7 linked regions of the Rattus norvegicus genome follow. The protein of the gene in region 3 interacts with the protein of the main gene of each other region in a biochemical or structural test. Links are inferred from orthologs where the notes say so. Each region holds a gene or a part of one and is shown on either strand. Other genes may lie near its edges.

Region 1 (3,500 bases), on a different chromosome or scaffold from region 3:
AGACAGCTCCTGGTAAAGTAGGAGATTTTAGCGTTCGATGATTTACCACCAATAACCGTGATCTCTATGCATCATGTACCTGCTTTGCTCATTACCACAAGAGGAAAATTAGTAGAATATTCTTTTTTTTCTTTTTCTTTTTTTTTCTTTTTTTCGGAGCTGGGGACCGAACCAAGGGCCTTGCACTCGCTAGGCAAGCGCTCTACCACTGAGCTAAATCCCCAACCCCAAATTAGTAGAATATTGATGGAAGATTATTTCACGTCAGTGGTCTTCTGCTGTCTACCCCAGTTGGCATGCCACTGTCGTTGTTTAGGGTTCCTGTTGCTGTAATAAAACACTACCAACAAGAGTAACCTGGGCAGGAAAGGGTTTATTTTATCCAAACATTTCCAGTTCACCACTGAGGGAATTCAGGGAAGGGACTCAAGGCAGGAACCTGTAGGCAGGAGCTGATGCAAAGGCCATGAAGTGCTGCTGAGTGGCTTGTTTTGCCCTGACTTGTTCAGACTCCTTTCTTAGAGCACCCAGGGATATCAGCCCAGGGGTGGCATCACCTACAAGGACTGGGCCTTCCAACACCAGTCACTACAGAACGCACTACAGACTTGCCTGCACTCGGTCTTTCTTTACTGTTGTATTGTTTTTTGAGATGGAGTCTCACTATGTAGCTCTGGCTAAGTGTAAACTCTAGCTTGTGTCAAGTTGACCTAAAACTAGCCAGCACAGCTATCTTCCTTTGAGTAAGATTGTAAGAGGATGCTGTGGAAGGGGTAATTTTTTCAAAGCAGAATGTCTGATAATTCTTACTTTAGGGATAGGCTTTGTATTGTATTCTATAAACCAATGAAACAGTCTCAGGGCATGCTAAAAATCAGTTGTGCAGTACATGCCCAAGAGTGGAAACTAGAACCAGTGGGAAGGTGTAAAATGGGTTAATCAACAGGTGTGTGCATTGTACTGTCTCTGAATTGAGGAGTACCTAGAAGACTCCTAACTGTTTCTTCTGGGTGTATCTCTGAGGATGTTTTCAGAATAACTGATGGGTGCGTTGGCAAACAGAATGAAGAAGATGTGCATTCAGCGTGGGCAAGTAGTGTCCAGTGTCGCTAGTACTATAGGTGGACCAGGAAAGCCGAAGCAGTGGCAGAATCACTTTGGCTCCTCCTTCTGGATGGGGCTTTCTTTCCCTGCAGCTGCTCCCTGGGTGCAGCTGCTCCCTGGGTTATACTCCAGGATGTCTGACTTTTGGATGCTGGAACTCTGATAATCCCTACCAGAAATTTTGAGCCTTTGACCTCACACTGGGATATCTGATTTTGCCAAACTGGTTCTGGCACTTTCAACTTTCACTACTGGTTTCTCTGTGTCTCAGGCTATCAAGAACTTTTCATTTGTATCATTATGTGATCTATTCCCGTATGATTCGTGATATTTAATAAGGTTTTCTATATCTTTCTGTCTGTCTGTCTCTGTGTGTGTGTGTACATACACACACACGCCTGTGTGTGGTGTTTTCTTATCTTGCCCTCAGTCCTGTTACTGGAGGACCCTGACCAGTAAAGAATTTAGGAAACAAGACTCAATACATTACAATACAATACAAGCCATTGACTAAAGAATCTGAGTTTCAGTGGGAGAGAGGAAGCATGGCATTATGCTATAAAATTATTCAGCTTGTTCGGGTAAAAACTGTAATGTAATGAAACAGTTGGAGGTTGTGAATATATATTTTATATTATTTATTACTTTTTTCTTTCCATTAGTTGTGTTCAGAGATATCAATGATAAGGGTCTTTCAACCGCTCACCCTTTGTTTTTCTCCCTAAAGGTGTTAGGATGTTCACAATTGCTAGTTAATGAGAAATGCTTGTTAGAGCCTAAGCACTGACTCATTCGGGTTGTCCCTCTCCAATAGGCATGGACAGAGTCCAGTGTTCTAGTGACAGAGAATTAGCTCACCAGCTTCAGCAAGAAGAAGAGAGAAAGAGGAAATCTGAAGAATCAAGACAAGAAAGGGAAGAGTTTCAGAAATTGCAGGTACAAAGATTAGTAACAGTTTTATTGAGTAGAGTTCTTATAAGTATCGTTGTCAGATGTCTAACAAGGTTTAGAAATAATGGCTCTGCCATTAAAAGCTAAGATTCACAGTCAAAAAGACTTGTACTAGTCTGTCCATGTTTTGTAAAAAATATTTTTGTGTACCTTATAGTGTATTGGGGGAAAAACATTTAAAAGTAGTTATTTTTTGAAGCTGGAGAGATGGCTCAGTGGTTAAGACTGCTGTGGCCTAGGACCTGAGCTCATTTTCTAGCCCCTACTTCAGGCATCTTTTAACTGCTTGGAATTTAGCTCCAGGCAGCCCCATTCTTACTTGTCACCTGTCGCGCCCACCTCGGCCAAGGCCAAGGACGGTCTGATTCTTCTCAATAGCCTTTATTGCAGGACCACCTCTTTGCTGATACAGGGACCTCGAGCGGCAAAAGCGCTCGCCTTATATACACAACAGGCTGGGGCTATGCTAATTGTCTTTCAGGGATTGGCGGAGCACGAATCACCCCACTATCACCCCTGCTACTTGTCCTCCAGGGATTGGCGGAGAATGAATCACCTCACTAGCATGGCACCGCCCCCTCATTAGCATATTACCGGCCAACTGACGCCAGGTGCAAAACCTGCGCATGCGCAGTACTGTTGTTCATCACTGGAGGGCGCCCTACAGTTACCCACACAGCCACATGCTCATGCATGTATGTACACACACACACACACACACACACACACACACACACACACACACACACACACACACACACCCTTGTGCACAGTAAAAATAAAAAAATAAAGCGGTGCCCCATGCCTTTAATCCTAGCACTAGAGAGACAGAGGAAGATGAATCTCTTGAGTTTGAGACGAACCTGGGGCACATTACAAAGAAACAAAAAAACCCTAAAACAGTGTTCAGACATTAGAATAATCATTTCAGATAAATTATGTAAAAGTCTTTATAGGAAATTCACAGGGTTTTGTTGTTTGTTTTTCCTTATTTTCTGTCTTTAAATGAAGAAGAAAAATGAAAGTGTTTCGTGATTTTTCCCTGGATTAGACAACTGTTAGGTAGAGAAGTGTGCCTGTCAGGCTATGCAATGGTGAAGCTGTGCAAATGTCGGCTGACATGAAGGTGGGGCGCTATACTGAGAAGCTGTTTCCTTAAAGGTCGTGTGTCTCTCTCTCCTTAGTCCTAAGTGCCTTTAAAGAACACAGTGAAGACATTTTGTATTTTAGTGGATGTTCAGAGTTTAGTAGTTTATGATTTTTGAGGGCGCATTTTCCTTATGTGAATGTAGTATCTATTGGACTAAAGTTGCAGCATGTGGGGGATTTTAATGCTTTAAAAATGTTAATGTTTCTCCCTTTCCATTTCTAATTTGTGAACTACAGTTATTTGTACTGACAATACTTGTAGAGTTCTTTTTTTTTTTTGGTTCTTTTTTTCGGAG
Region 2 (3,500 bases), on a different chromosome or scaffold from region 3:
GTAGTTCTATGTTTTGTGTTTGTGTGTGTTACATGTATGTGTGTGTACGTGGAGTCCAGGGGTCACTGTCACTCTCTTCCTCATTTGGGCCCCCCCACCCCCAGAGTGTGTGTGTGTGTGGGGGGGAGGTGCAGATGATTTACTCTGTAGCCCCAGCTGGCCTAGAATTTGCTTTTTTGTAGACCAGGCTTCTCCTCAAATTCACAGAAATCCTCCTGCCTCTGCCTCCCAAGTACCGGGATTAAAGGTGAGGACCACTGCACCTGGCTTGCCCTGGTCTTATTTTTTGAGGCAGGGTTTCCACCTAACGAGTTTGAACTTTGCTGGCCAGCCATTGAATACCAGAGCTCCTCACGGTGCTGGGCTCACTTTGTTGTTGTGCCCAACTTTTCCTTAGATTCTAAGGCATCTGAACTTGGTCCTCACGTCTGCTCAGCAGGCACCTCGCTGACTTAGCTGTAACCCTGCCACTCGTGTTGCATTTACTTAAGTTTGGCTGCGGCTTTGGAAGTAATGAAAGTCTTCACTGCCCTTGGCTCAGGCAGTCTTCATGGGCTTTGGCTCAGGCAGGCATTGGGTCTTACGGAGATTGTAAGGTGGGGCTACTCCATAATCTAAATGCTCACAGTGACCATAATGGAACTGAAGCTACTTAATTGTAAACGTTTAAAAACAGGGTGTGACATGATAAAAGCAGGTATATCAGGGTGCTTCTTTTTGTCGTTCTTTTAAAGCAGCAAGGAGAAATTCAGGATCAGACAACCGGAAATGCTCCCTCGAATACTCCCTCGGGTAATGAATCTTCATTTTATATCTGTCTTAATTTTTAGAAGTACTTGATTTACCTGATACTGAATGGAAAGGAATTTACTTAACTTTGGTAATGCTCTTTTCCCTGAGTGTTCCTAGCCCGACAGCTTCGTAGGCTGTTGAGTTGACATTTGTCGGGGTATTGCTGAGGTAAGACAGCTCTTTAGGAATCTTATCAGAACTCACACTCACTGAAATGAAGACATTACATGTCTGTGGAGTGAACAACCATGAGTGGGACGTGTCTGTCACTCTTCCCCTGAGTGCAGGACTGACTGTTAGGACCAGAGGTCTAGGACAGTGGAGAGAACTACTCTCAGTCCTGTGGGTTACTTTCTTTAAGAGTATGGTCCTGGGGTTGGGGATTTAGCTCAGTGGTAGAGCGCTTTCCTAGAAAGCGCAAGGCCCTGGGTTCGGTCCCCAGCTCAGAAAAAAAAAAAAAAAAGAGTCAGCTAGGAGGCTGACTTTGCTCTCCCCATCTGTATACAGGTAGCTGGAATTTAAAAGACTCTTGTCATTAGAGAGCCGTGTGGGTTTTGCTTATTTGCTTAGCCCTAGGCTGTGGTAGGACTCTGGCGGAGTGTGACTATTTCTTGGGCAGGAAGTTTTGTTCTGCATGGGGATATATATATAGGCTTACTTAAAATTGCCTCACAGTGCTTTTTAGTGTAGTGTTACAGGTGAGAATAGGGTCTGTAGGAGAAAGTAATGGGATTACTTTTTGTTTTTGAAGGTGCTATGTATTATCTTCACTTTTATTCCAATTTCTCAGAAATTGTTTCTCTTCTGAGTTGTGTGTATTTTAGAGTCACAGTGTAGCAAGTCAGTTTCGCCTTTGTAGGCCACTCGTGGGCTGTCGAGTGTGTTTGTTGTATCCATCCTCTTAATGCGATATTGGAGGCAGGAGACAAGGCTCAGTTGGCAAAAGTGCATATGACTGACGCACACGTGAGGAGCCGAGACTGAGACCCTAGTGCCCCATGCTTACAGTTAACGTTTGCAATCCCAGTACTCGGAAGGCCGAGACAGACAGATATATTCCAGAAGTTGTAGCCGCTGTTCTATCCGAATGGGCAAGTGACCGGTTCAGCGAGACCCTATCTCAAAACGTGAGGTGGAGAGTGAATGGGGAAGGGAGGTAGGGTAGCATTGGCCTCTCTCTTCCGCAGCGTGAGTCCACACATGCAAACACAAAGTGGGTCGTGTGCCATGTGCAGTTGTTAAGCTGTGAAACTCTGCTGCCCTCAGGTGCAGGCTCCGTCAGCTTACTGCTCCATTCGACCACCTGAATTAACAAGAGAACCCACATACCTAGGTTAATTTTCAGTATTTTCTGGGCTAAAAGGAAAATAGATTGTATGTATCTTATGTTTGGCAAGTGTTACGTTAAGAATATTAGTTCCTGGGGGCTGGAGAGATGGCTCAGTGGTTAAGAGCTCCGACTGCTCTATCAGAGGTCCTGAGTTCAATTCCCAGCAACCACATGGTGGCTCACAACCATCTGTAATGGGATCCGATGCCTTCTTATGGTGTGTCTGAGGACAGCTAGTGTGTATTCAAATAAATAAAAATAATAAAAAAAAAATTTAAAAAAAAGAATATTAGTTCCTCTAAGATCCATTTTTTTCTCCAACAGATTAATCATGAGATAGTGTATCAGACAAGTGTTTCAAGTCCAAGCTTCTCCCCGGTGAAGGAAAGTGTTCCAAGACCACATATTTCTGAAGTCGCGAGTCCCTTTGCAGCAAGGATCATAAATAACCACCTTGTTTCAGCCCAGCCTGAGCCTGAGAGCAACAGGTCAGTGGTGCAAGGAACCTTTATGTAGAACACTCTCGGGCCTTCCTGGGACTCTTCTACAGCAGTTAGGGAATTCTAAGAAATTACAGTCACGCAACTGTGAAAGGGCTCCAGGATCCCCTCTACCTTCTTCAACCATGTATTTAAGTCAGCTAAAACCATGGACTGAGTGGGGAACGCTGGCACATAAGGTCACCTCAGCCTCTAGGACATGGAGGAGTCCAGAGTCCAAGTTCATGCTGGCCAGTGAGGGTCCACGGCCAGCCTACAAGACTCTGCTGTTGAGGAACAACAAGGTTCCCTGTGCACATGGTGTGCTTGTGTGCATGTGTGCGTGCATGCATGCGTCCGTGTCATGTATTATGTGGTTTGATCAAGTCACTACCTCTTGCTATGTTGATGACAGTATCTTACAAGCATCATGAACTTGTTCACATAGCCCAATCACGCTCTGGGCATGTAATATATTTGGATGAGTAGGTGGAGCGGGAATACAGAAAGACAGGCATGGTCCGTGGATTTGTTAGTTATCCCTAACTTAGTCAGGCTGTTTTGTGTGTAGTGTGCTAAGTGGTGGCCCACTCAGATGAAAAAAGCACACACTTGCGTGAAATCTAGGATTTAGGAGAGCCAGTCGTCACACTGCTGGACACTGGGAGGTGAAAGGACCAGGCTTTCTGAGCGGTTGTATAGCCTTCCCAGTCTCAGAGTAGAATTGAGGTAAGTTTGGTTAATAGGGTAGTGGCCTGGACTCAGGTCCCAGCACTGTATGAAACCATTTGTGAGGGTGAACTCAGCCGTTGGAGACGGAGGCAGGAGGGCCAGAGTTCAGATTTATTCTTGCCTACATAGCAAATTCAAGACCAGCCTGAGCAGAGTCCATGAGACCC
Region 3 (4,254 bases):
CTATGTCATGAGTCCCAAGGTAGCCAGGGCTACTACATATGGAGACCCTGTCTCAAAAAAAAATCTCAAAAAAGAAAAAGGTTGAGATTAAAGGCATTTAATAGTGTGTGTGTCTGTGTGTGTGCATGCTACATGTATGTGAGTGCCCCTAGGGACATTGGACCTCCTTGAAGCCTTGAGAAGCTTTGGAGTCAAAGGCCTTTGTAAGCTAGCTGCCTGACAGGGTTGCTCAGTATTGAACTCTGGAAGAAGACCTGCTCTTACTGCTGAGCCATCTCTCTACCCTAGGGATTCAATTCTTACCTTCTAAGGTCTCAGGCCTTACATTTCAAAAACCTGAATAGGCTGAATTTTACAAGTGGGGTATATGTTTGCTGTAATCTGAACATTGTACTAAACGTGTACTTTTTGTGTGTGTGTGTGGGTTTTTGTTTGGTTTTGGTTTTTTTCAAGACGAGGTTTCACTGTGTAGCCCTGTAGACCAGCACTTAGAGGCAGAGGCAGAAGGATCTCTGTAAACTTGAGACCAGCCCGGTCTACGAAGCCTATTCCAGGACAGCCAGGGCTATACAGAGAAACCCTGTCTGAACAACAAAAATTAAAAAAATAGGATTTCGATGGGTTCAGTCTCAGAATATGAACAACATTTTGATATTTTGACCTTTCCTTAGTGACAATCGAACAGAAAACAGAACCTTCTCGAATCCAAGGACACCAGACATAAACAGACTTAGGAAGAATCTGGAAAGATCTAGTGCCCACTGGGCTTCAGATCTAATGCCAACAGTTTTCAAGAACTGTGAGGACTGACTGCTTTTCTTGACGAATTCAGATTCGTTTTCCCAAACTGGGGAGAGATCCCCCCCCCCCCCATTTTTTTTATAAAAAATAAAAAAAACCGTTGTCATTTCCCTTGTTATGAGATTTGCACAGTCATCCATCCTGTCACCGTGCCAAAACAAAGAGGGCTGGGCACAGTGACGACCGACTCGAGGTGAGGGAACTTAGGAGCCGAGGCCACCAATGGAATATCAGTGTAACAAGAGCCAAAGCCCTAGGTCCCCCTAACAGAAAGAGGCGACTGGGACCCTTGACGGAGGGGGTGGGGGGTAGTTGGTGGGTCTCCGGCTCGCTTAGCCACAGTGCGCCTGCGCCGAGGTCCGCTCCGGCTGCAGTGATCCCTGCCGGGTTTTAGCGCCGATCACGTCACAGGCGCTGATCCCTCCGCGGGGTCGCGCAAGGTCGCAGTCCTGCCCCTCCACACAAAGCCCCTCACTCTCTGGCCTTCGCAGTGGAACAACCCCATGAAGCGATCTTAATGGTTTTAGCCTGTCGCTTCCATTGCAGAGATTGGACCGGGCATTAAAAAGTAGTCCCCAACCGCATTTCCGCGGAGGAATCCAGGGGTGGGCGGGGCTCCCGATGACTATATAAAGAGACGCCTCGCGTCCCGCAGCTAGTTCCGTGGAGACCGCCAGTTCCGTCTCTACTCTTTTGTGAGGACTGCAGCCAACACCGCTGGTGAGGAGAAAGCCGCCACACCCGGCGGGGGCGGGGAGGCGGGAGGGGGCGAGAGACAGCCCGCGGCCCGGACGTTTGGTTTCCGTGGCCCGCGAGGACGGCTGCTGTCCTGAGGCCGAGGACCGGGCGGCAAGATGGCGGCCAAATGGAAGCCTGAGGGGGAAGACGCGCGGTCCTGACGCGCTGGACCAGGTTGGGGGAAGCAGGCCCGCGAGGCCGCTTGCCGCCGGTTAAGCCGGGAACGTCAGAGGCTTGGGTTGGGAACTGAATTCGGTTGGCGCGCTGTAGGAGCCTCTGATGTGAGAACTGTGGGTATTAGACGGGAGGGAGATGTCGGTTATCCGGAATTCGTCGGTTGCTAAATACAGGAGTGCGATTGGGAAGGGAGGGGGAGGGTGGCGGTCCAGCCTAGCCTATCGCCCCTGTGACGTCGCGGTTTGTGTGGTCTCACAGTGTATAGTGACGATGGCTTTAGCTTTCCCTCAGTTGTAGGACCGGGTTTGGGTCTCGGCCTCGGGTAGCCTCTCCAGAGTAAACAGGAACCGGAAATTCAGAGGGGGAACGTGAGCCTGACTTACATTGAGTCTTTCCTTGTCTCGCTACACGGATATGGCTGCGGAAACTATTTATTAGACAAGGGTGTTTTTTTTTTTAAGATTTATTTCTTCAGGGGTTGGGGATTTAGCTCAGTGGTAGAGCGCTTGCCTAGGAAGCGCAAGGCCCTGGGTTCGGTCCCCAGCTCCGGAAAAAAAGAACCAAAAAAAAAAAAGATTTATTTCTTCAGACACACCAGAAGAGGTGTGATCAGATCTCATTACAAATGGTTGTTAGCCACCATATGGTTGCCGGGAATTGAACTCGGGACCTCTGGAAGAGCAGTCAGTGCTATTAATCACTGAGTCATCTTACCAGCCTGACAAGGGTTTTAAACTTTAAAAAAATCTCTGCCTCTACCACCCATGTGATGAGGTCCAAGGCCAGTGCCACTTACCCCAGACTACTTTTTTTTTTAATAGAGTTTATTCAGGGCATGGGAAGGGGAGTTGAGGAGGGAGTAAAGCTGGTCGGAACATGTGGAGAGAGAGCAGGGAGGAGAATGGGGAGAGAAGGGACAGATGGGGTGAAAGTAAGAGGTTAAGAGGATAAGAGTAAGAGTAAACTACTGTTTAATTGTTCAGACAAAAGCTTGGGGGAAGGAGAGTTGAGGCAGGATCTCACTGTCTCAGGCTGACCTCCCAATTCACGAAATCTGCCCACCTCAGTGTCCCCAGTGCTGGGAGGAAAGATATGAACATAGTTCAGTTTTGTAGTAGTAACTGGCTCTATCTACCAGTCGGGACCTGAATCCGGGATTTCCAACTATTGCCTTCTAAGCTCTTGAGTTTCTGACTTCTTTGGAGTGGGTCCTCCTAAACCCCCCTCCCCCAAGGTGAAATGTGGGTCAGGCTTTTCTCCAAACTGCAAATAGTCAGGGACTGACTTTCAGCAGTTCCGTACTGAACGCTCCACCCTGCCAACTTGGTAATAGACAATGCCTAATATTCATAACTTTGTTCCATCAAGACTTTTATTTTCTTGTTGGTTTTAGGGGGTAAAATTCAAAACAGTCTGTGTAGCTATTTAGACTAAACTACTAGCCACCTCACAGATCCAACGGTTGGTGGCACTCTAAAGAATTTGTGTCATTCCTGACCTGTTTTTTGGTTTTTTGTTTTTTGTTTTTTTTTCCATAGACAATGCAGATCTTTGTGAAAACCTTAACTGGTAAGACCATCACCCTGGAGGTCGAGCCCAGTGACACCATTGAAAATGTCAAGGCAAAGATCCAGGACAAGGAGGGCATCCCCCCTGACCAGCAGAGGCTGATCTTTGCAGGCAAGCAGCTGGAAGATGGCCGCACCCTGTCAGACTACAACATCCAGAAGGAGTCCACCTTGCACCTGGTCCTTCGCCTCAGAGGGGGCATGCAGATCTTTGTGAAGACCCTGACAGGCAAGACCATCACCCTGGAGGTCGAGCCCAGTGACACCATTGAAAATGTCAAGGCAAAGATCCAGGACAAGGAGGGCATCCCCCCTGACCAGCAGAGGCTGATCTTTGCAGGCAAGCAGCTGGAAGATGGCCGCACCCTGTCAGACTACAACATCCAGAAGGAGTCCACCCTGCACCTGGTCCTTCGCCTCAGAGGGGGCATGCAGATCTTTGTGAAGACCCTGACAGGCAAGACCATCACCCTGGAGGTCGAGCCCAGTGACACCATTGAAAATGTCAAGGCAAAGATCCAGGACAAGGAGGGCATCCCCCCTGACCAGCAGAGGCTGATCTTTGCAGGCAAGCAGCTGGAAGATGGCCGCACCCTGTCAGATTACAACATCCAGAAGGAGTCCACCCTGCACCTGGTCCTTCGCCTCAGAGGGGGCATGCAGATCTTTGTGAAGACCCTGACAGGCAAGACCATCACCCTGGAGGTCGAGCCCAGTGACACCATTGAAAATGTCAAGGCAAAGATCCAGGACAAGGAGGGCATCCCCCCTGACCAGCAGAGGCTGATCTTTGCAGGCAAGCAGCTGGAAGATGGCCGCACCCTGTCAGACTACAACATCCAGAAGGAGTCCACCTTGCACCTGGTCCTTCGCCTCAGAGGGGGCATGCAGATCTTTGTGAAGACCCTGACAGGCAAGACCATCACCCTGGAGGTCGAGCCCAGTGACACCATTGAAAATGTCAAGGCAA
Region 4 (3,500 bases), on a different chromosome or scaffold from region 3:
TCTTGTAACCCCTTCTACATACTGTAACTAATGCTGGCAGTGTTTCACTACACACCAGAACTTGCTGTGTTCTTCTCTAGCAGTTAGTGTTTATTTCCACAAACTATTCACAGATGTCACAAGGTTAAATTACTTGCTAACAGGGTCATAAAGCTAGTTAAGATGCAAAATGAGGGCTGAAAACCAGCTCTCGGTCACTTTTTTATAATGTCTCTTATAAAAGGTAAATAAATGTGTCTACATCTACTAAAAAACTGAATTAAAAGACTTTCTTTTAAGACTTCACAAAAATTCAATATTATTTATGTGGGTGTGCATGCACACATTCACAAGGGCTCCTGTGTGTGTGCGTGTGTGCATGTTTGTGTGTGTGTTTGTATTTTTAAGCACATACAAGTATTTGGAACCTGCAGTCTTTATGCATGGTACATTTTGTACACAGATCTACAAGCTGTGATCTGAAATTCCTTAGGACTATGTGTGTTTAGGGATTCCTGGTCTATGGGGTACTGAAGTGGTAACCATTTCAAACTTCCCCAAGTCCCCTTCAAGATCACACTCACTTCCTTTAGGTTGTCCTGTGGAGCCCTGGTTTGTTGTTATTTTCCCCAGCCTATATAACTTGAAAAGAATCTCAGTGGTAGGCTTTAACTAATTTAACTTTTGATTTCTTTTGTGTCTTACACTCATGTTTATTCAGAAAAACACTTGGAGCCCTAGCATTAACAAGTCTGGGAGTTCAAGCCTCAGTATCATAAAAATGAGTAAATACATTAATATGTATTTACCGCCAGAGACTGATTTGGTGCGAAGCCCATGTACCTGTATTTTCTTTTTTAAAGAGTGCCGTATAGAATATAAGTAAAACTACATATCATCTACATATAGGCCAGTATTCTAATCAAACATAAGTCTTTTGACAGAAAATTTAGGAAGACTATGAGTATAGAATATAAATAGGCTAATATAAATATGAATCTAATTAATTTAGATTTTAATTTTTAATTTTAATAACCAGTTCTGAAAGCCTGGGGTGTAAAAGGCTGTGGCTGAACTTCAGCTGTCTTTTCCTTTACTCCTGTCTGTTCATACATCCCTCCCTTCTGAAGACAGGAGCAAACAGATAACGGATCGCAAAGCTGTGTTAGAGCCTATACCTCAGGGTGTTAAGCAGTCGCCTTGGCTGTGTCGCAAGTTCATCTGTATATTTTTCTGGATTTAAGAGAAAACTAGCTTGAAGCTGTTCAACTGAGATTATTAAGGACTGTAAACTGCATATAAGCTCATAACTTGCCAAAGGATCTTCTTTGCAGCTTCCCTATCAAGAAAAAAAACCACAATTTAATTTATAAACATTAAATAAGTGCTTCTTTCCTTCTTGGTCTCACTGAACAATATAGCTTTTCTAAATTAAATTTCAGTACAGCAAAAATTCTATTAATCATGCAAGTCAACTTTTTCCCTTCAGTTTTTTTCTTAGTTGCTTTCTTCATAGACAGTGATTTTCTAATCAGTTTTCTTTTAACTTATTTACTTGCAATTAAGGCTGGGGGTATGACTCAGTGGTAGTTTCACTTGCATATGTAAGACCATAAATTCAGTCTCCAAAAACCATTAATGTCAATTACCATAGAGTGGATAATAACCTGGTACTCAAGTGAGACACTTGTGATTATGAGGGGCAAGTGACAAGTCTAATTAGCAATGCATGAAACACTATACCAGGCTATGAATAATCTGGACAATATACAGTTCTGAAAAACTTAACAGAAATAATCTGTCACCATTGTCCTGAACAATCCTGAGTCTCTATCACTTTTTTATTTAACAGTTAAACATAATCCCTCCCATTAATTTGTTGTTGCATGTGTGTGGGGGTGTGGGAGTTGTCGAGACAGGGTTTCAATGTGTGGTCCTATCTAGCCAAGAAATCACTATGGAGACAAACCAGGCTTAGCTGCCTCCCAAGTGCTGGGATTAAATGTGTGCTTCACTGTGGCCTCTCTCTAGCTGATTTTGTTTCTTAAATCATCATCTTTTTACCTTATCCTTCTGAATAGAGTCATCCTTCAGAGCTTCTTTCTTCCTTGAAATAATATTAAATAAGTGCTTCACTCCAGCCTTGAAGCCAGGACAAAAGTACAACACCTACAGAAAGGATGTTGTTTTAGTACTGTGCAAACAACACACCTAAAATCACTAATGCCTTCTGTAGGGCACATTTAATGTTATTACCTAAAACTGACACTAAGACCCTCTTCAAACCCTCTACCTCACCAGTAGTAACCCATTGATCGCTCAGCAGCACTTAGCTCTGAACCTATACATTATTAGTCAGATTAAGATTAACAGGACAAAAACTAACAAAATAATGAAAGTTTTTAAGTTGACATAGTACCAGTAATCTTTGAGTATTATCATGGTCTATTCTGGTTGATTTACAGTTTATAACAAAGTATGGACAAAGTCATTTAATAATCTAGAACTTTCAAAAACATTAAACATTACATCATAATACCTGAAGAATACTATTCAGATAACAAGTGTTGCCAAGGTTATTCAGTCCCACAAACGGTAACAAGTTTTCTCTCTTCTCACAGCTTACTGGTGAGGACTGTGCAGCAGGAACAACTTGATCACTGTGAATATAGAGGGAAGAAAAAGTATGAAGATGTAGCACCTTAAAGTGGAAATACTGCTTCCCTAAACTTAACATTTCTACAATAGGCAGATGACCACTGAGCTATATACCCAACCCTGAACAATTATTGGTGAACACACATGGGACAACATCCACTTTTAGTTACCCAATAGACTGTCCATTTGCTGAACAAAGAGCTACCACAGACTCCAGCTAGGGCAATTTGGAATATTCACTTTTATTCTCTTTTAATGTAAAAACCATTTTGTTGTAATGAATTCACAAGTAAAAACATCATGCAGCTAGATTAAAGTAGCCACTCAAACAAGCCCTTGTCCAGTCCTATAGGACAGCCATTCTGAAGCCATGGAGTTCCGCTTAGAGCTTTATACATCTACTATCAATACATTTTTGTGCACTTAAACACCATAAAAAGGGGGTATGTGGGATTAGACTAGAAAAACAATTAGCTCTGTATCCTCTCCTGTGACCGGATGCACTTGTACTTCATGTGCATTCCTTCCCTCCTTCCCTTTCTTCTTAATGACTAAAGCATTTACATGCATTTAAAAAAAATCATCTTTAAAATCTAATTTCAAAATAAATTGGCAAATGTCCTATCTCTAGCAGATAGAAGTAGTTCTGGGGTGTAACAGGAAGTTTTACACACACTACACTGCAAAAATATCAAGCAGTGTTTACCCTGTTCCTACTATACACTTTGTTTTTGGTTTATTCTTTTTTTCCAAGATAAGATTTCTCTGTGTAGCTCTGGCTCTCCTGGAACTCAATCTGTAGACCAGGCTGGGGCCTGTCTCCCAGGTGCTGGGATGAAAGGCAGGAGCCACCACCACTGAGT
Region 5 (4,053 bases), on a different chromosome or scaffold from region 3:
AGGAATACATTTCTTTGTCAGCTTGCTCCTGAAGTTCCTTGGAGGACAGCTTGCCAGTAACAGCAATCTCTTCTTGTCTCACAGTGTGGGCTGAGTGTGCAGCAGTGGATGGACCACCTTCTGCTTTGCCTTTTAAGATCTCTATGGTAATTCTGTCACCATGCTGCAAAGGAACTGGCTCCTTTTCCATTCCTGCTTGGGGTGGCATTAACTCTTTAGGAGGAAAACCATATCGAATACACTGTAAATATGGAGGAATGTTGAACTCTCTGGCTATACTTTCCTGAAGTTCAAAAAAGGTTGTTGAAGACTTAAGGGTAACCATGGACTGCCGTCCATCATTAGTTGTTATGCGAATCTTCTTCTCCTTAGAAGTGGTAGGTGAGTAGGGAGCCTTCGTGGGGGTGGCAGGTGCAGATGAAGGCCCATCACGAATAGTACTTGGAGAAACAGTTCTGGGTTGCCCCTTTTGCTCTTGTTTTAATTTCTCTGTTTTCCGTTTCTGCATCACAGAAGCTTGTTCTGTGATGTTCTGTTGAATAGTTCTTTCAGTTTTACTCATGTTTAATTCTTCCTTGTGCAAAGTTTTTGTTTTCTGTCCAGTAAGAATAATTTTAGTTGGTAGCTGAGACTCCAATTCTTGTCCTTGCACATCTCCAATTCTCTGAGCATGAGCACCATCTATATTTACAGGAGTGTAATCGTCAGGATTTTTTTTTGCAGTCTGATGCAATATAGTGTGGACAACTTTCTGAACTAGGATCTCACTCCCAAATTCACCTGGAAAGTGCTTGGTAACAAGTTTCATTGCAACATCATAAACATTACTATTCAAAGATGGATCACTTTCATACTGGAACCAATATACTGTTTCTCTGACTACTCTTCCTCCCCACTCCAAAGTGATAGGAAAAGCTTCTGGAAGGTTGTCATATTCTTTACCTTCCCAAAAGTGTTTGAATCCACAACCACATTTGCCACCAGTAGACCTAGAATTAGTTCTGTCTCCATCCAAATATACAATAGAGCCATCGCCTCTGACTCTTCGCACAGATGTGCCATGGCACCAATTACAAGCTGTTAGATTACTCAATCCATAGTCTGGTAACAGAACATCTTTCACTGGATCATATGAACAAACCAAATTGTTTAAAGGAAAGCTGTAATTTTTGTCAGGCCTCAGCTGTCCATGAGTACTTTTTGCCAGGTTATACAGTTTTCCTCCTGGAGCCAACCACTCAGGAGGGACATGAAGTTCAGAAAGGGCACCACAAAGCAAACACTTGTGAAGGCGATTATCCATTACTGCTTTTTTAGCAGCTGCTGTAACTTCCTCAGGCTGAACTCCTATCACCCCAGTCCTTCTGTAGAAATACTGATGTACATCAGCAACCAAACTAGGATGGATACCATGTTTGTCCATAAAGACTTCCTCCATAGCAGCAACCAACCTAAGTAAGTACTTATCCTGCAAACTTCTGTCTCCTCCAATAACACAACCACCATCCTCCTCAAGCTTGATGTACTTTTTAATAAGGTCCTGAGGCACACCCCATGCTTTAGGTAGCAAATTCATGGGTAGTTTGGGCAAGGCAGCCCCCTTTATGCCTACCAAGGGAATATAATGGTTTCTACCAGAGCTACTCCACGCAATACAGATTGGCTTGTTCAAATGACCATCTCTCCCAGTGCACTTCTCTGCAGGTATGAGCCCAGGTAGAAAGGTGGCTGAATAATCACCAGAGCTTCTCATGCCACTGAGGGAATCTAAGAGAATTATGGGACGATGTAACACATTGGCAAGGCCAAATATGTGGATATTCCTCAGGCCTAAGGGGACACCTTCAGGTGGCACAAACAGAGGGTCACATTCATTGATAATGTCCTCCCACTCTGCAGCATCAATAAAGTCATGAAACAGGGCTTGATATCGGGCTAGGTGCTGCTGAAAGTGCTGCTTCAGATTCTCCCTCAGGGCATGCCAGAAGAGCTCTCGGCCTACTAGAGCCCTAGACACAGCATGCACTAGGCAGTGTCCATCCCCATCCACATGCACTGGAATAAGGCATTCTTGACTTTTATTGGCCCGTTTGATATCCTCGAGAGTGTCATGCAAATATAGGAGGCTTCCAGATCGGTCCTTGCCATAGCCCACTGTGTTGACGTGCTCTGGTTCGATGAGGAAGGCCCGGTCACCGAGTAACGCGCAATCGAACAGTTCGCCTTGGTTCATGTCCCGGAGAAGCTTGGCGCGGCCCGTTTGTTTGTCCATTCCATAGCGTGCCAATATGGGCGACAATAATTTGCAGTGGTAGTTGGAGAGGCCCATCACCTTTACCAGTTCCGTGTTCTTCTTGGGAGCCCCCGTCACCCCGAGTAGCGCGTTCCGCAGCAGATTGTGCAGCACTACGTCCGGGTCGGTCACCTCCTCCACTCCCAGCAGCTGTTGCTGCTCGTGCCGCTGTCCGCACTCGGTACACTCGATGCTGACAGAACCTGAGGCCGGGAAGAAGAGCCGCGCCTGGCACTTGGGATCCGGGCAGCTCCCGGAAAGGATTCTCCGGTCCCTTCGTTTCGAAAGGCCCCCCGGAGTAGCCGCCGCCGCCAGGGACGACGAAGTCTGCGGAGCCTCGGGGGGAGGCGGCGGCGGCGGCAGCGGAGGAGGCGGCGGCGGCTGAGACATCGCTCTCGGCTCTCGCTCTGCGTCCCAAGCGACCCTCAAAGGCACATAGCCAGACCTCCGCCGGCCCGACGAGGTCTAGTCCAGGCCCAGAGCGAATGGCTTTCCTTTCCCTACCAGTTCCTCCTCCTCCTAGGCGAAGGCGGAAGCGCCGGACGTTGTTTCTCTTCTCACTTCTCCACAGCCTTAGCCGTTGCCCCGAACGTAACGGCCACCACCCCACCCCGCACTCACACTCACTCACTCTCGCTCTCTCCCTCAGATACAGACATACACGCCCTCACTGAGACTGCGCAGGCGTGGCTTCCGCACTGCCCTCTGGGAACGAGAGTCTTCCGGCTCCCCTCTCGCGAAGGAGTGTTAGGCGCTTCTGTCCACAAAGAACTTCAAATACCGTGATGCAAAGCAACTCGACGCACGCGGGAAGGAGGAAGAGGAAGGCACTCGGAAGGTGGGGGCAGAAAGGAAGTCGATGACTCGCGGGGATTGTCGGTAGTTGTATTTTTAACTGGATCCCTTTTGTAGTTTGCTCCCCCCTCCCCGGTCCCCCATTCTATGGCCCAGGAGAAAGAGTCAGAGAAACCGCATTTCCTAGGATGCTATGGGTAGTGTCCCGCCGTACTTTCCCCTTGCGCCGAAAGGAGTGTGCTTGGAGGAAAGAAAAGTGAAAAGGAATGGCGTGGAAGAGGGTCTAAAGTCCACCACCGCTGCTTGTCCGGGTTAAAGGTCCTAAGAAAGTGGGAGAGGGAGTTTTCTATGAGGCTTTTTTTTTTTTTTTAGTATATTTATTGTTCAAATACGGTATCATTTTTGTATTACCACTTAGCTAGCAAGTGCTATAACTGAGCTTCTACCTTATTCGTAATTTAATCCACATTTACATTCGTAAATGTACTCCACTGCTCTAATGTGAGAGAAAGTTAACAAGAAGTGAGCAACAACTGGTGGTCAGTGGCAAAATCTGGCTGTTTTGGTTGGATCACAAGAAATTTAAATTTATTATATTGTTGTTGTTGTCGTTAAACATGTGTTTGAACAGTGAACAACAGTTCCTAAGAAGTTAGATTTTTAAGGTTTTAACATCAAAACACCTTGAGACAAATTACCTTCTTGAGTCCAGAAAACATTTGTGTTTCTATATCATTCAGTAAATGGATCAGCAATTGAGCCCAGGCAGACCTCAAACTCCCTATAGTGGAGGATGACCTTCAATTTTCTGTCCTCTGCCTCCACCTCCCAAATGTCAAAGTCAGAGGTGCATACCACCACGCCTAGGAAATGCAGTGCTAAGGGCTGAACATGGGGCTTCGTGCATGATGGGCAAGCTAACTGAGATATAACCCCAGTTTGCATAATATGTAGGAGCTTTTCAA
Region 6 (4,300 bases), on a different chromosome or scaffold from region 3:
TGCTGAGCCATCCCTCCAGCCTCTGGAAGTTTCTTTAGTTTCTTCAGATCACTCAGTTCAGTTTTAGAAGTGCACAAATTCCTGATTGAGACACAGATAATATTCCGGATATTATCTGTGTGTTTGTTTTATATTTACATTTACAAGATTTTAAATTTACTAAGTTTTTATAGATGGATGCCTTGACTGTATGCATGTATGTATATCACGCATCTGGGATTATGGATGGTTGTGAATCATCACAGGAATGAATATGGGGCCTCTGCAAGAACAAGTGCTCTTAAGCCCTAAGCCAACTCTCCAGCCCCTAGATACAGACACACACACACACACACACACAGTTTTTCAAAACAGGATTTCTCTCTGTGGCCCTAGGTGTGCTGGAACTTGCTTTGTAGACCAGGCTGGCATGAAATTGAGAGATCTCCCTGCCTCTGCCTTTCAAACGGTGGTATTAAAGTGTGCACCACAGCCATGATATTTTTTGCATTAGTTTTTCTTATGAAACTAATTTTCTTTGTTCGGGACATCTTCCTGTGGCCTTCTAGGCAGGTCACGCTGGAAGAGACTGGTCTAGTAGCCCTTTTTATGTCTCTCCAACTCCATTTTTGGAAGTACCTGGCATACTTGACAGAGTGACAAGAGGAAGTTAGGCTAGTGACACGGTGCTCAGCGCTGAGTACTTGAAAAATTATTTGCTCAATAAATAAGCAAAATGAATATATGAGAAAGACTGGGGTTGACCTGGAAAGGTGAGTCTCTGTTGCAAAACGCAATTTGGTCAACAAATATTTGCGTACTGTGTCCTTGCCTTGTGGCTCTCCCTCAAAATACATGGTAAACAAAACAGCAACCGGCCTTGGGCAAGGAGTTTCTACACCCACTTCTTAGCTGCATGATTCTATTCTACTGTTTTGTTTTTTTATCTATTGATTTTGAGGATTATATTCTAGCCTAAGGAATCGATTTAGACCCGCTAATCCCAAATGTTAAGACTCCTGATGTTTGGATCCAAGCTACCCCCTACCCCTCATGCTAAACTTTCTAGTGTTGGCTGGGGTCCTTGGATGGAGATCCTTCAAAGGAATGGATCGCACATCCACCAGAGGGTGCTGTGAGGGCAGGTCTGTGGCTGGAGGGGAGCTCGCCCAATGACCCTCAAACCCAGGTAGGCTTATTAGTTGGTTTTCTTTCTTGGTGTTTCCTCCCTACCCGCTAAAACCGTCGATGCCCCTCCCCCCACGAAGGGTTTCGTTTTGAATATAGTGATTCGACTTTCGCCGCGACTCCAGCAGTGCTTGGTTCCAGAGGAAGTCTGGCCTCTGTCGCAGACGTCCCGCGGCTGGAGGCCGCCGGTCCTCCGACCGGCCCGGAGCGCAGGCGGTGGGTGGGTGGGGACCTCCGGGGCCGCAGCCAGCCGCCGCGCCGCAGGGGCCGCGAAGGGGTTAACCCGGCGGGGGGGGAGGGGGCGCGGGCCGCGCGTGCGCTCTGCCTCCCTCCATTGTCTCCACGGCGGCGAGGAGCGCCGGCGAGCGCAGCCCGGGACCGAGCGGGGCGGCGCGGCTGGCTGGCGGGGCCGGCGGCGGCTGGAGCCGGAGCGCGACACCACGCGACCGCGGCTTCCAGAGCTCCGCCTGGCTGCCCCACCGCCGCGAGCCCTCCCGAAGCCTGGAGGAGTGCGGGCCGCCGGCGCCGGTCGTCGAGTCCTGAGACGGGGAACGCGCGCGTCGTTCCGAGCCTTCGCCGCTTCCTGCTGCGGGCGGGCGAGCGGCCTCCTCCGGCGCCTCCCTATCTTCGCTGCGGCTCCTCAGGCTCCCGAGCCCGGGGGCGGCCTGTGGCGCGAGGCGCCCGCTCTGGACCGCGCGTCTTCGGACCTTAAGAAGAACATGCATTCGGCTTGGACAGTTTGAAATTCTTAGTTTGGGGTCCCCGCACGCTTGCCTTTTCCACCCCGCGGATTTTTTTTTTTTTTTTTTTGAGGATTTTCCCTTCTCCTTTTTTCATTTTCTCTCCTCGGGGCTCTTTTGTGACTCCCCCAACCCCCCGCCTTTATGTTCGCCCGGCTCTCCACCCGCTTCTGAGTGGTGGGGGAGGGTCTCGGCCTCCACGTTCCCGCCCCACCGGGCCCCGGCGAACATGGGGGGCAAGCAGAGCACGGCGGCCCGGTCTCGGGGCCCCTTCCCGGGGGTCTCTACCGATGACAGCGCCGTGCCGCCGCCGGGAGGGGCGCCCCACTTTGGGCACTACCGGACGGGCGGCGGGGCGATGGGGCTGCGCAGTCGCTCGGTCAGCTCGGTGGCAGGCATGGGCATGGACCCCAGCACGACCGGAGGGGTGCCCTTTAGCCTCTACACCCCCGCCTCCCGCGGGACCGGCGACTCAGAGAGGGCGCCGGGCGGCGGAGGGTCCACGTCGGACTCCACCTATGCCCACGGCAATGGTTACCAAGAGACCGGCGGCGGTCACCATAGAGACGGGATGCTGTACCTGGGCTCCCGAGCCTCGCTGGCGGATGCTCTACCTCTGCACATCGCACCCAGGTGGTTCAGCTCGCACAGTGGTGAGTCCTCGGGTTGACGGAGGCCTTGAAGGGTGGAGTGCAAGGGAGGGCGCGTCGGGCCGCCTGAAACCTCTTAGTATGCTAAGGTATGGGTATGAAGCTAACTCCTGCCCTACCCCTGGTTCCCTCCATGTCAGAGGATGAATAGGATCAAATAAGATAACTACTGCCTAGGGGAAAAGCTGCCTACCAGGCTTGTGGAGCCGGGTGTTTTAGGACTGCAGGCGTGTGCTCACTTGTGGATGGCTGAGTGAAACCTGCCCATCGAGGTCGCATTTATTAGCATCATGATCCTCAAAGGTCTTCTTGTCTGACACTCTTCATTTCTGCCACTGCAGCATGATGCCTACCTTTCTGGCTAGGGAGGTAGTGTCTCCTAAACAAAGAGTGAGAAAAGAAATAAAACTAGGGACAAACGATCCTTGGATTAGGGTTCTTAGCCTTGCTAGGGAAGGGAGATGGTTAGTTTTTCCACCCGACTGGTTTGCTGTATCAATTGATTTAAATGGAACAGGAGGTGGCTTAGACAGGTGTGGTCTGCTATGTGGAAAGCCTCCTTCTTTGGGTTTGCAGGGCCAGGATTCTGGTCTCTCTTGCTGCATGCAGTAGATTTGGCTCAGGGACTGTCACATCCCTCCATCTTTTTTCTCCTGCTAAGTGCTTGCTCTTCCCGTGATTCTGCATCTTTTTTTTTTTCCCCCATAGAGCACAGGAAAGGTGGGGTGTTATGGCCCAGCAGTTGGCACATGACTGGGGAAGAGGAAGATTGAAAGGATCTAGATGAACTCATTCTGTGCACTTCTGGTGACAGGCCAGGAAAAGGCTGGAGGGGGATTTCCCAGGCCCTGACTGGTAGGGCAAAAAAAAAAAAAAAAAAAAAAAAAAAAAAAGGCCTGGCAGAGACTTCTAGAGGAAAACAGGTCTGTCTGCTTGGCTGTCCTGAGAGGCCAGGGCAGGCGCTGAAAAATTGGTCAAAAGGGGTGTGAGGTTGCTTTTTGCTTTTTGTTAATTAATTACTAGTTCAAGTGAAACAGTTAAGTTTTCAGACTCCTTTGCCTGAGTTGGGACATTTTAGATACTGTGCAGGAGAAAGCTTTCTCCTGCCCTTAGGGTACATTATGGAAGGTTTACCTGTGAGACTAATGTTGTTGTAGCTAATTTCAAAACAAGGTAGATTTTTTTTTTGTTTGTCTTTTGGGTTTTTTTTTTAATCTTTCCTTCTTTCTTTTGGTGAATTCCATAATCTTAAATTTTTGAAGTAACTTTGGTGGGTTATACTGGCTAGTTTAGAGCCTCTCTGATGTTAATTAAACTGTGGGAGGTCAGATACAAGGCATGTCTGCCTTTGGTACCCTTTAGGCATTCGGTATGCGTTAGGCATGTTGGGATTAATCTTCTCTAAATAGTTGAGTCCAGAAGGCTCAGCTGTATTTGTGAGACTTTTGTGATTGCATTCGTAAGTGGACTATTATTGGTCTGCTTTTAAAACAATTTTGAGTGTAGCAAACTAACTTTATAAAGGCTTGTATGGGGGAGGGAGAAAAAGAGTTGTCTTTCTGGTAAGATTTCTTTTTTTTTTTTTTTTTTTTTTCTCGGAGCTGGGGACCGAACCCAGGGCCTTGCGCTCTGGTAAGATTTCTTAAGTCTGACTCTTAATAGAAACTTCTTCCTTGTTCTATCGTTAGGTTCCTTAGCGCCCCCCCCCCCCACACACACACTCTCATCCAGTCATGGGGGTAG
Region 7 (4,035 bases), on a different chromosome or scaffold from region 3:
ATCTCATTCCCTAACACATACCCACCACAACTTAGGATACTTTCGTTTTCAAAATAGTTCTCAGATGTTGCTCAAAGTGAGCTATCTACCCACTTTAAAAAAAAGGGGGGGGGGGTTGGGGATTTAGCTCAGTGGTAGAGCGCTTGCCTAGCAAGTGCAAGGCCCTGGGTTCGGTCCCCAGCTCCGAAAAAAAGAAAAATAAAACAACAATAACAACAAAGAACCCTTTCATGCAAAGCCACAATCACCGGTCTCCTAAAAGACTACAAAAGGCCACATACTACTTTCTCCCGTCTTTAAAATTTGTTTGAAATAACGTATTGTTACGTAGCCCAGTTCAGCCTTGAAATGACCTAAGTCTCTTCCCTCAGTCTCTAGGGTGTTGGGATCATAGGAGCCACATAGCACGAACGACTCCATTATTTATGTCTAAAATTTAGCAACATACACATAGCTTTAAAATTCCTGTTTTACAGATGTCTGCAGAGACGAATACTTGTCACTGTATAGTTCCTTCCAGAGTCACAGCCTTCTTAGGTGTTACCTTAGCTGCTAAATGTACCCTACTAAAAATCACGAACTCAGGCCGCAGAAGGTGGTGGTGTGGAGCAGTGTCCCTGCCCCCTCACCGCTGACAGATGAATCTTTGACACTTTTTTTTTTTTTCGGAGCTGGGGATCGAACCCAGGGCCTTGCGCTTCCTAGGCAAGCGCTCTATCACTGAGCTAAATCCCCAACCCGAATCTTTGACACTCTTAGCCTGGGTTCTACCCCACCATACAGTTTGCATGGCTCAAGGCTGTCTTCACGTCCCCTCTCCCCAGCATCACACTCGCCATTCGCTAATGCAGCACCTGTCACCGTCCTTCGCCGCTCTGAAAATCTGGAATTACAAATTCATGGGTAAGTTTCTGAAGGACCCTTCCAAGAGGAAGAACAGCTTTACGCAAAACAGAAAATGCCAGCGAAGCCTAGAGCTTAGTGGAGGAGATCACTATTCCCAGAAGCCCCTTCACCGTGGATTGGCTCTTCCCTTCACCCAAGACCCTTCGCGCGAGAAGACTGAGCATGCGCAAAGAGGACAGCGCATGTGCAAAGGACTACCGGGGGGGGGCTGGACTGCACCTCCCAGCAGGCCTTGTGGAGGCTGCGTCATTCCGCGTGACGAGCAGCTTCCGGCGTGGAGGGGCGGGGTTGCGCGCGCGGCTGAGGCCGCTGCTGGACCTGGGAGGGGAGCGGCCCTGGGGCGGCTAAGCGCTGTCCGCAATGGAGGCCGTGCCCCGGATGCCCATGATCTGGCTGGACCTGAAGGAGGCCGGTGACTTTCACTTCCAGTCTGCTGTGAAGAAGGTGAGCACACCTTCGATGCGCATCTCCGTCGTCTGCCCGCGCGTGACGCCCCCTGCGCGCCTGTCCCTCCCCGGGTTCCGTCACAGGTCGGGCCAGGCGTTTTCCCTTAGGATGGCCCTCCCCTCCCGTGCCGGCACATCATCCTTATCTCCGACTGGCACTGCATCCTTGCGGGAACCCTTTTCCCGACTTCTGCATTTCTACCGAGGTTCCTTGCTGTGACACTCCTGGACCCAGCTCTGCCCTGTCCCTCCACGTTCTGGGAGCCCCCGTGGGGAGCGATGGCGGTCCAGGTTGTGCAGAGTCCATGCTAGGCCCAAGCCTGGGTGGGCTCCCAGTTCACGACCGGACTAGGAAAGAATGTGTGTTTAAGACCGGAGCCCCGGTGGCCCAATAGGCATATCCTGCTCCAAGAGTGTGTAATTGAGTGTGTGCCTGTGTGCAGTTAGTCTGTGTAACCCTCCAATTCTGTATGGGCTCCTTACAAAATTTCTATTCCAAAGTTCCTTTGGACCAAAAAACACAATTTCTTGTTGATAAGAGGGCTTGAGTCAGGCTAGGGCTCTAGTGGCATCCTATGAGTCATTGTACTGGGTAGAGCAGTCGTTTGGAGTTCACTGAGGGTTTCTGTGGTGAGGTCAGGTGTGGTGATGTGGAAACTGGGTAACCTCCGAGAGAGCTACTGCCTTAGAAAGAGCCCCAAATAGCATTGAGGGTCGTAGCAGAAGTGGACAACTGGGAAGCTGTGAGGAGTCTTGGGGATTTAGCACAGCACCCATTGGAGTAGACAATCTCGAATCCTTTACCACTCCGTGGTGTTTAGGGGAAGAAGGAGAAAGAAAGAAAGAAAATGGGTTTGGAAGTAATTTCCGATGGAGTTGCCTCCCATATTCTCTTCATTATCATCACTTCCACAGTTCAGGCCCTAATTGGTTGCATGCTTGAGAATGGGGTGAGGTTCGTTCAGGTGCTGGGTGTGTATGTGTGGTGGTGGTTCAAGTGATGGGTATCAGAGCCAGAGACTGGCACAAGTGCTCTTCCACATAGATACACGCCCCCCAGCCTAGACTTCTTCCTCTCCCCTACGACCAGCATCATAGTAAGCCAATTGATCTATATTTACAGAATTTTGTTACCCATCTTCTGTTTAATGAAATCGTAGTGAGGTGAATTCTTCTAAAATGTATTAAAGCTGAGGTAGATACTCAGTATCATACCCGAACCCTGGTTATTCAGAGTCTTACAGAGTAAAGCCAGTATTTTTAGTTTCCCATTCGGTATTCTCTCTGACATAGCCTGATTCTTTAATCTTTTGTCTCAGTCTTGTTGTATGTTATATGTTTTATCTGTGCTTGTGATACAGGTATTCCACGTTCTGTTAATAATTATTACTTCCTGTTTGCTTTAGGTTTTTTTCTCCTTGTTGTGTCTTTGATTGTGGAAATCATTTTACCTCAGTGGTTGCTATTTCATAACTGTTAATTTTGCTACTGTTAGGAATCATAGTGTAAATATCTGATATGCCACCCCCAAAGGGGTTGAGGTCTACAAATTGAAAACTGCTATTCTACCTAAAAGAGCTCTCAGTTTTGCCCCATGGACTGGTGATGGGGTCGTCGTCTTTAATCTCTGTGAATTCGTTCCATTCAACTTTCAAGGTCTGGTTGAAGCTCTGACTTCCAAAAAGCCTTTCTTAATCTGGATTAGCTTTGTCCTTTTCTGGATTTCCTTCCCCTCTCCCTTTCTTTCTTTCTTTTTTTTTTTTTAAAGATTGATTTATTTTATGTATATGACAAGTACACAGTCGCTGTCTTCAGACACACCAGAAGAGGGCATCAGATCTCATTACAGATGTGGTTGCTGGGAATTGAACTCAGGACCTCTGGAAGAGCAGCCAGTGCTCTGAGCCATCTCTCCAGCCCCCCTCTCCCTTTCTTTAACAACAGTTCTATGTATGTGCTATTTTTAGAGTGTGTGTGTGTGTGTGTGTGTGTGTGTGTGTGTGAGAGAGATGATGATGTGTGGGTTCCAGCATGACAGAATATTTGTGTGGAGGCCAGAGAACAACTTGCAGGAATTAGTGTCTCCTTCTACTAGGCAGGTCCAGGGAATGAAACTCAGGTGGTTAGAGCAGGCAGCAAGTGCCTTCCTCCCCTGACCCTGCTGCTCCGGCCATATGTATACTAGGTTTTCTTTGTTTTTTCAAGGCACTGTCTCACTGTGTAGCTTCAGCTAAGCTGGAACTTACTATGTAGGCTACGAAGGCCTCAAACTCACAAGCCTGCCTTGGCCTCCTAAGTGTTGGTATTAAAGGTGTGCTCCACTACCCCCTGCTCCTATATGCGCTGTGTTTTAACCCCATATTCAGTTGGAGTACCAGAGGGCCCTCTCCATGTTCCTTTAGCCTAATACCCACTACCTAGGAAAATGTTTCTCAAATGACTGACAGGCTAGAGCAGCGGTTCTCAAACTTCCTAATGCTGCCCCCTTAATATAGTTCCTCATGTTGTGGTGACCCCCAGCCATAAAAATTTGTTACTACTTCATAGCTGTAATTTTGCTGCTGTTATGAATCATAAAGTAAATCTCTGATATGCAGATGGTCTTAGGCAGTCCCCATGAAAGAGTCATTCAAATCTCCCAAGGGGTCGTGAACCGCTGGTCTAGAGGGAATTTAAATTAGAT

The links.
Region 1: of the proteins of Ubc (region 3) and Zup1, one has a biochemical effect on the other in vitro, tested with the Homo sapiens proteins (4 studies listed by BioGRID, with this or other methods). The link is inferred for Rattus norvegicus from reciprocal best matches to the Homo sapiens genes UBC and ZUP1.
Region 2: the proteins of Ubc (region 3) and Morc3 form a complex in vitro, tested with the Homo sapiens proteins (2 studies listed by BioGRID). The link is inferred for Rattus norvegicus from reciprocal best matches to the Homo sapiens genes UBC and MORC3.
Region 4: of the proteins of Ubc (region 3) and Usp1, one has a biochemical effect on the other in vitro, tested with the Homo sapiens proteins (4 studies listed by BioGRID, with this or other methods). The link is inferred for Rattus norvegicus from reciprocal best matches to the Homo sapiens genes UBC and USP1.
Region 5: of the proteins of Ubc (region 3) and Vcpip1, one has a biochemical effect on the other in vitro, tested with the Homo sapiens proteins (3 studies listed by BioGRID, with this or other methods). The link is inferred for Rattus norvegicus from reciprocal best matches to the Homo sapiens genes UBC and VCPIP1.
Region 6: of the proteins of Ubc (region 3) and Znrf1, one has a biochemical effect on the other in vitro, tested with the Homo sapiens proteins (2 studies listed by BioGRID). The link is inferred for Rattus norvegicus from reciprocal best matches to the Homo sapiens genes UBC and ZNRF1.
Region 7: the proteins of Ubc (region 3) and Ptpn23 form a complex in vitro, tested with the Homo sapiens proteins (2 studies listed by BioGRID). The link is inferred for Rattus norvegicus from reciprocal best matches to the Homo sapiens genes UBC and PTPN23.

What each region holds. Positions count from the first base shown.
Region 1 is NC_086038.1:31,348,024-31,351,523, reverse strand, and holds part of Zup1 (zinc finger-containing ubiquitin peptidase 1), read left to right. Parts: exon of another isoform or gene 1-1,918; coding exon 1,919-2,040; intron 2,041-3,500. UniProt on the Homo sapiens protein: Deubiquitinase with endodeubiquitinase activity that specifically interacts with and cleaves 'Lys-63'-linked long polyubiquitin chains. Shows only weak activity against 'Lys-11' and 'Lys-48'-linked chains.
Region 2 is NC_086029.1:46,652,692-46,656,191, forward strand, and holds part of Morc3 (MORC family CW-type zinc finger protein 3), read left to right. Parts: intron 1-737; coding exon 738-792; intron 793-2,446; coding exon 2,447-2,610; intron 2,611-3,500.
Region 3 is NC_086030.1:36,899,046-36,903,299, forward strand, and holds the start of Ubc (polyubiquitin-C), read left to right. Parts: upstream 1-1,454; 5' UTR 1,455-1,521; exon of another isoform or gene 1,522-2,084; intron 2,085-3,254; 5' UTR 3,255-3,257; coding exon 3,258-4,254.
Region 4 is NC_086023.1:118,706,056-118,709,555, reverse strand, and holds part of Usp1 (ubiquitin carboxyl-terminal hydrolase 1), read right to left. Parts: intron 2,640-3,500; coding exon 2,519-2,639; intron 2,149-2,518; coding exon 2,044-2,148; intron 1,319-2,043; coding exon 1,158-1,318; intron 1-1,157. UniProt on the Homo sapiens protein: Negative regulator of DNA damage repair which specifically deubiquitinates monoubiquitinated FANCD2. Also involved in PCNA-mediated translesion synthesis (TLS) by deubiquitinating monoubiquitinated PCNA.
Region 5 is NC_086023.1:14,315,830-14,319,882, reverse strand, and holds the start of Vcpip1 (deubiquitinating protein VCPIP1), read right to left. Parts: upstream 2,801-4,053; 5' UTR 2,684-2,800; coding exon 1-2,683. UniProt on the Homo sapiens protein: Deubiquitinating enzyme involved in DNA repair and reassembly of the Golgi apparatus and the endoplasmic reticulum following mitosis. Necessary for VCP-mediated reassembly of Golgi stacks after mitosis.
Region 6 is NC_086037.1:56,404,228-56,408,527, forward strand, and holds the start of Znrf1 (E3 ubiquitin-protein ligase ZNRF1), read left to right. Parts: upstream 1-1,500; 5' UTR 1,501-2,136; coding exon 2,137-2,560; intron 2,561-4,125; exon of another isoform or gene 4,126-4,300. UniProt on the Homo sapiens protein: E3 ubiquitin-protein ligase that plays a role in different processes including cell differentiation, receptor recycling or regulation of inflammation. Mediates the ubiquitination of AKT1 and GLUL, thereby playing a role in neuron cells differentiation.
Region 7 is NC_086026.1:119,258,876-119,262,910, reverse strand, and holds the start of Ptpn23 (tyrosine-protein phosphatase non-receptor type 23), read left to right. Parts: upstream 1-1,235; 5' UTR 1,236-1,266; coding exon 1,267-1,350; intron 1,351-4,035. UniProt on the Homo sapiens protein: Plays a role in sorting of endocytic ubiquitinated cargos into multivesicular bodies (MVBs) via its interaction with the ESCRT-I complex (endosomal sorting complex required for transport I), and possibly also other ESCRT complexes.